Xenopus tropicalis: one gene and its partner. The protein of the gene in region 1 purifies or fractionates together with the protein of each later gene. This does not show direct contact. Links are inferred from orthologs where the notes say so. Each region holds a gene or a part of one and is shown on either strand. Other genes may lie near its edges. The genes, in order: sh3pxd2a and fgd1.

Region 1 (4,333 bases):
ATTTTTACTATATTTGCATTTTCATGGCTTATTAAACATTACCATATTCCCAATTACAACTGTTGCTCTGTGGGACCCAGGGCAGTTTCCCATTCACTCCATGCAAAGACCAGACAATTAACAGTGCTACTCTAATACACAGAAGTGACAGACACCCCAACAATCACATACAGTATCACTGGAATTAAACCACCCTTCACCCTATGGGACCTATAATACATGGCAGGGTTGTACCACAATACATGTGTATACAGAATACATTGTGCCTGGGTGGGTATAATTGCCCCTTAATGCATGGCAGGGTTGTACCATAATACATAAAGTATACATTGTGCCTAGGTGGGTATAACTGCCCCAATAATGCATGGCAGGGTTGTACCACTATCCCTATGGGATACAGCAGAATACATTGTGCCTGGGTGGGTATAACTGCCCCAATAATGAATGAGTTGTACCACTATCCCTATGGGATACAGCAGAATATATTGTGCCTGGGTGGGCATAACTGCCCTAATAATGCATGGGTTGTACCACTATCCCTATGGGATACAGCAGAATATATTGTGCCTGGGTGGGCATAACTGCCCCAATAATGAATGGGTTGTACCATCATCCCTATGGGATACAGCAGAATACATTGTGCCTGGGTGGGCATAACTGCCCTAATAATGCATGGGTTGTACCACTATCCCTATGGGATACAGCAGAATATATTGTGCCTGGATGGGCATAACTGCCCCAATAATGCATGGGTTGTACCACTATCCCTATGGGATACAGCAGAATACATTGTGCCTGGGTGGGTATAACTGCCCCAATAATGCATGGGTTGTACCACTATCCCTATGGGATACAGCAGAATACATTGTGCCTGGGTGGGTATAACTGCCCCAATAATGCATGGGTTGTACCATCATCCCTATGGGATACAGCAGAAAACATTGTGCCTGGGTGGGCATAACTGCCCTAATAATGCATGGGTTGTACCACTATCCCTATGGGATACAGCAGAATATATTGTGCCTGGGTGGGCATAACTGCCCCAATAATGAATGGGTTGTACCATCATCCCTATGGGATACAGCAGAATACATTGTGCCTGGGTGGGCATAACTGCCCTAATAATGCATGGGTTGTACCACTATCCCTATGGGATACAGCAGAATACATTGTGCCTGGGTGGGTATAACTGCCCCAATAATGCATGGGTTGTACCGCTATCCCTATGGGATACAGCAGAATACATTGTGCCTGGGTGGGTATAACTGCCCCAATAATGCATGGGTTGTACCGCTATCCCTATGGGATACAGCAGAATACATTGTGCCTGGGTGGGTATAACTGCCCCAATAATGCATGGGTTGTAACATCATCCCTATGGGATACAGCAGAATACATTGTGCCTGGGTGGGCATAACTGCCCTAATAATGCATGGGTTGTACCACTATCCCTATGGGATACAGCAGAATATATTGTGCCTGGGTGGGCATAACTGCCCCAATAATGCATGGGTTGTACCACTATCCCTATGGGATACAGCAGAATACATTGTGCCTGGGTGGGTATAACTGCCCCAATAATGCATGGGTTGTACCGCTATCCCTATGGGATACAGCAGAATACATTGTGCCTGGGGGGGTATAACTGCCCCAATAATGCATGGGTTGTACCGCTATCCCTATGGGATACAGCAGAATACATTGTGCCTGGGGGGGTATAACTGCCCCAATAATGCATGGGTTCTACCGCTATCCCTATGGGATACAGCAGAATACATTGTGCCTGGGTGGGTATAACTGCCCCAATAATGCATGGGTTGTACCGCTATCCCTATGGGATACAGCAAAATACATTGTGCCTGGGTGGGTATAACTGCCCCAATAATGCATGGGTTGTACCATCATCCCTATGGGATACAGCAGAATACATTGTGCCTGGGTGGGCATAACTGCCCTAATAATGCATAGGTTGTACCGCTATCCCTATGGGATACAGCAGAATACCTTGTGCCTGGGTGGGTATAACTGCCCCAATAATGCATGGGTTGTACCACTATCCCTATGGGATACAGCAGAATACATTGTGCCTGGGTGGGCATAACTGCCCCAATAATGCATGGGTTGTACCACTATCCCTATGGGATACAGCAGAATACATTGTGCCTGGGTGGGTATAACTGCCCCAATAATGCATGGGTTGTACCACTATCCCTATGGGATACAGCAGAATACATTGTGCCTGGGTGGGTATAACTGCCCCAATAATGCATGGGTTGTACCACTATCCCTATGGGATACAGCAGAATACATTGTGCCTGGGTGGGTATAACTGCCCCAATAATGCATGGGTTGTACCACTATCCCTATGGGATACAGCAGAATATATTGTGCCTGGGTGGGTATAACTGCCCCAATAATGCATGGGTTGTACCACTATCCCTATGGGATACAGCAGAATACATTGTGCCTGGGTGGGTATAACTGCCCCAATAATGCATGGGTTGTACCACTATCCCTATGGGATACAGCAGAATACATTGTGCCTGGGGGGTATAACTGCCCCAATAATGCATGGGTTGTACCACTATACAGTACAATACATAGTGCTGGGGGGGGTATTACTACTCACATAGTGCTTGGATGGGTTCCTCCTTTTCTGCACACCCTGTACGCTCACATCCAGCACCCAGAAGGACAGCATCTTTCCCCTCGGAGGCACGGCCAGGCAGGCAGGCAGCGGGCTGAAGCCACTCACTGGGGCATTACTGTCCCGGTCCCCCCGGCAGTTCCGTGCAAGCGCTGTGTATAAGAGCAGGGAGGGGGCCGCTCACTCCAATGAAAAGGCTCTAGGGCTGAGCTCCGCTGCCATGTGCTTGTGGCTTGTTTCTCTGGGCAGTAGGCTGCCCTCTGCTGTTCTTGTGTTTCCCCTGGGCTTTCTGCCTTCACATTGGGATACTCCTCCTCTCACCCTGCCTGAGTGCTACTCCCCTTGCCCTCCCTGCTGCAGCTGCAGCCTGGGTTACACAGCTCTGTGATTCCCCGCTCCGCGGGTGACACGGTCCTTACATGGAGGCGGGGCCTGCTCAGGACACAGAGACTCCTATATATTCATTGGATTCATGGATCCGGGGGAGGGGCGGGGACTGGCCACCAAATTGAAATGATAAATGCCTCAGTGGCTGTCTGTATGGGGGCTAATAATAGTACAGACCCTGGGTCCTGCCTTTAGCTTGTTTCTCGGGGAGGCTGGAGCCCAAATGTGAGGGAAACTAGCTAAAGGCAGTACCCAGGTTATATGTAACTTGTATATGTGAGATATAACTATAATGTTGTGTCATTTATACATTTCTTTGAAAAACATAGGCCATAGGGGCCCCTCTCAGGTTGGGAACCTTACCAGGGCAAATGTCTCTTTGTCCTTCTCTTAATCCAATCCAGGCCTTATAGACCAGGTGCCCCCAGTCCCTACATGTATGGCTCTTGCTCTCTGGGGTGACTAAGAAATGTAAGAATTCTGAAAATTAAGATTTTTTAAAGAAGGTCCTTAGGGATGCATTGGCATGTGGGGGTATGACATTGGTATGGGGGAATGCATTCTGTCCCATGGGTGCCCAGATGGTATTGAACTATAACACCCACATCAGTGCCACCTCAGGGCTCCTTGCTACTCTGAGGCAGGCAAATAAATGCTGTCCCTTTGCGCTTTGCTTTTCTCATTGGAGTCAGGGGCAAATCTCTAGTGCAGAAAGCAATAGTGTTCTCTGCACTAGAAGAGCCATAATTCTGATTTAAAAAAACTAACTAGCTGGGCACTGCCACCTAAGGTGTGTTGCTCAACTCACTTCATGGACTCACTTCCTTACCTCTGGAACTCTATCCCTGAATCCCTCCGCAGGGAACACTCACTCTCTTTAAGATGCTACCTTCTAGAGCACAAAAACATTATTTTGCCTAGTCCTGTGCTTAAGAGCAAATGCCCATACCTAGTGCACTCTTACCTTCCAATTTGTGCCTGTATGTTACCCAACCACTCTACGGGGCAGGGACCTCCTTCCTACTGTGTCTCATACCTCATGGCACTTATTCCCTGTGCATTTATATATATTTATTGTATTTATTACAACACTTGTAAGATTGTACAGCGCTGTGTACCCTTGTGGCACTTTATAAATAAATCTTTGCAAAGGGGAAGAAGCACTCCAGTGTGTCGGCAATGCCTTTAAATCATTTATTTGCAGAAATGTACAAACAGCACAAGCTTTCTGGGGTGCAATACACACAAGTGAACAATTTACTCACTAAATACCTTAACAGATTTTTGTTTATGTTGATT
Region 2 (3,493 bases), on another chromosome or scaffold:
CTCGCCCTCAACTTCGCACCTAGCTTTTTAAAATCGTTCTTGAGGACTTCCCCCCCTCCTCTAACTTTGTCATTGGTACCTATGTGTACCAAGACCGCCGGGTCTTCCCCAGCCCCTCCCAACAATTTGTCCACTCGTTCCACCACATGCCGAACCCTAGCACCAGGCAAGCAACACACAGTTCGGCATGTAGGGTCTTTGCGACAAATTACCCTATCCACCTTTCTAATAATTGAATCCCCTACAACTATAGCCTGCCTTCCCTTCCTAGCACTACTCCCCCCACCTGTATTAGAGGTGCCGGCTCCCAGGGTGCTCTGAGAGTCAGCCCGCTCCATACATGCTAGCTCAGAGCTGTCTTCCCCAGCATCTTCACCTAAAGCGGCAAATCTGTTGGATTGTACAAGCTGTGAACCAGCCCCCCTACCCTTGTGTCCCCTACTTCCCCTCTTAACTGTTACAAATTTGTCTCCCTCATTAACCTCCACTGTCCCTTCTCCACCCCCCACTACACCGGCCCCTGCCAGTGGTTGCTCAGTGAGCCTCCTGTTCTCCCCCATGTTTGCAGCTGCCCTCAGTGCTGCCAGTTCCCCTCTTAGATTCTGCACCTCAGATTCCAAGAGGAAAACCCACCTGCATCTCTCACAAGTAAATGCTGCATGGAACTGCTGCTCCAGGACCACATACATGCGGCAAGATGCACACTGAGTAACACCAGCAATCATACTGCAACTCATATTGCCACTGGGTACTTACAGTCTCCCGAGTGCAATCCCTTGTATAGTGCCTTTTAAGTTTCAAACGCCTTTTTTGTTTTTAACGCCTACTATACACTTAATCTACTTAATATTGTTTGTAAACAAATATTTACATAAACCATAAAGTAGATAAAACAAGAGACTACCATATACACAGAAAGGTCATACAAAACAAATATACTACAATACACTACAAATATACAAAACTTAACTAAACACACTAAAATGAAACCCAGAGGCCCAACCACCTATATAATAATAATATCCCACACCACACCATATAAACACACTCTATGAAACCTTAACCCTAGAGGATTACACAGCCTAAGGATACCTCTCCTTTGGTTTGATAAGGTGCCTGGTCTGTGATGTCAGGATTCCCTCTGATTTGGTACGGTGGTCACTCCTCTCCTGGCCCTGTGTCTACCTGTGCTAGCACATACCAGTCAGTTACAGGAAGTCATCCGTCCGCCATTATGGGTATTTCAGTCTTCATGTCTGCGTCTCCAGCAAGACTGTCCTTCCCGCTCGTTTCTGCCCATACACGGGCCGATAGAAGCTGCCGATATGGGTCCCTTGGACCGATTCGGCAGCTAATCGGCCCGTGTATGGGCAGAAACGAGCGGCCTGGCCGACCAATATCTGGCCTGAAATTGGCCAGATATCGATCGGCCAGGTTAGAAAATCCAGTCGGATCGGGGACCGCATCGGCTCGTTGATGCGGTCCCCGAACCGACTGCCCCATGGCCGCAACTGTAATTATTTTTTTTTTAAAGCAACTTGCTACCCGATATCGCCCACCCGTAGGTGGGGATATCGGGTAAAGATCCGCTCGCTTGGCGACATCGCCAAGCGAGCAGATCTTATAGTGTATGGGGACCTTAACTGATTAAGCATATCACCAGGGATCCATTCAGCTGGCTCCAGTGTCCTTGACCCTTTGTTAATGTTAATTAGAGTTTAGGTGGGACAGCACCTTTCCCAGACCAGTACCTTTGTTTTCCAAATTAGGAAACTCCTGTTGTTTGGATCAGACAACCAGGTGCTAAGCTAATTACTAATTGACTGTTTCCTCTACTAGAGTCAAAGGTTTCATTATTGATTAATAAATTATAAGAACTCACAATATATATATTACAAGAATCTTACATATGTATACATTACTTTTACTCATGAGTCTTGCATATTATATATATATATATATATATATATATATATATTAATTACTTCTCTTCTGAAAACACAAAGTATGAGCACATCGCTTACTGCTTTCTCATGAGATTTATTTCATTTAAGTTCATTCCTGGAATTTAAACTTGGGGAATGTTCCTTACTCATTTAGCTAGGACAAGATGGGGAAAAGTCTATATTAAAGAAGAACTTAAGCGCAACAAATAAATAGGCTTGAAATGCTAAAACCCTAAAGGTCTGGATCATGATTGCTGGCCCTCTGGGCTGGTACAGTGCAGCATATACAACATTAATACAGCATCTATCCAAGAATAGTCATATTATTTTTTGTTTATATTCTACTTTCATTTGTCATGGTTTAAACAACACAATCATAGCTGCCTTTTGTCTTGCTTTGCCTTTACAGGCTATTGAGGCTACAATAAATCGGCATGAACAGGCAATGGAGTCATGCAAACTGCTCTGCACGTCCATTCGTGAGGATGAGGAGACGCCACCAAACTCTCCGGTACATTTAGAGGCCATCCTCTGGCCACAGCGAAAGAACATATCTGGGTCTGACTCTGAAAACAATGTTACAGGAGTCAAGTTTCCTCTTGGTCTGTTAATCAACTGGCTTGCGATATTGTTTCATGAGTCAGATCCAGGAGTGCAAGAATATAAACACTTGGCTGGCAAATGCTGTCAGGATAGTTAGTATCGTGTTCTTGCAGGTAGAATAAGAAGAATAAAGGGAGTGGGTTTGGGTTTGGGTATAGAAGGGGAGCAGGAAGGGGTCAGGAGGGTTTTGGGAATTAGATTGTCTTATTCTACCTGCAACAGCACTTATTAAGTTATTGAGGTAACACAGCAACAGTTCCTAATGAAACGTCTGTCACACAGAACACAGACCTGGGAAAACGAGCACCAACCCCCATCCGAGAAAAGGAAGTGACCATGTGCATGAAATGCCAGGAACCATTTAACTCCATTACCAAAAGGAGACACCACTGCAAGGCTTGCGGCCATGTGAGTGCCCAGTTTTATTGCATCTTCTTTTACTGTCACCAATCACTATTTCAGGCCCAGACAGGCAATCTGTCAGAGGGCCTGGGGGAGCTGTTTGGGCCTCTGTGTACTTGAAATGTTAGGGCCTATTTTTAATCTCAGTACTTATTTCCTTACTCCAGGTGGTATGCGGAAAGTGCTCTGAGTTTCGTGCCAGGCTTGTTTACGATAATAACCGCACAAATCGAGTCTGTGTGGACTGTTATGGTGCTCTACGTGGGTCTTTGGCCAGCCCAGTATACAACGCTCACACGCCACAGCGCAGGAAATCCATACTAGAGGTATGTCAGGCATCTTTTCACTGCCCAGTCTGTACATGGCGCCAGCTTGCACAGCAGTTAGTGTTTATCACTGGCACTTAAAGGGTGTCAGTCAAGTGTCTATTTTAAATGTGGGGTACTGCGTGCTGATAAATAGCTGCTTTTAAGACAGGCACGGCCATACCTAGACTGAATAGCGCAAGATTCCTATACTGTGTCAGGTGTACATCAGACTAA

What was found.
Region 2: the proteins of sh3pxd2a (region 1) and fgd1 purify together in Homo sapiens (affinity purification with mass spectrometry; 3 studies listed by BioGRID and IntAct, with this or other methods). This does not show direct contact. The link is inferred for Xenopus tropicalis from reciprocal best matches to the Homo sapiens genes SH3PXD2A and FGD1.

Annotation. Positions count from the first base shown.
Region 1 is NC_030683.2:28,139,262-28,143,594, reverse strand, and holds the start of sh3pxd2a (SH3 and PX domain-containing protein 2A), read right to left. Parts: upstream 3,075-4,333; 5' UTR 2,702-3,074; coding exon 2,630-2,701; intron 1-2,629. UniProt on the Homo sapiens protein: Adapter protein involved in invadopodia and podosome formation, extracellular matrix degradation and invasiveness of some cancer cells. Binds matrix metalloproteinases (ADAMs), NADPH oxidases (NOXs) and phosphoinositides.
Region 2 is NC_030684.2:25,386,988-25,390,480, reverse strand, and holds part of fgd1 (FYVE, RhoGEF and PH domain-containing protein 1), read left to right. Parts: intron 1-2,355; coding exon 2,356-2,457; intron 2,458-2,831; coding exon 2,832-2,957; intron 2,958-3,118; coding exon 3,119-3,277; intron 3,278-3,493. UniProt on the Homo sapiens protein: Activates CDC42, a member of the Ras-like family of Rho- and Rac proteins, by exchanging bound GDP for free GTP. Plays a role in regulating the actin cytoskeleton and cell shape.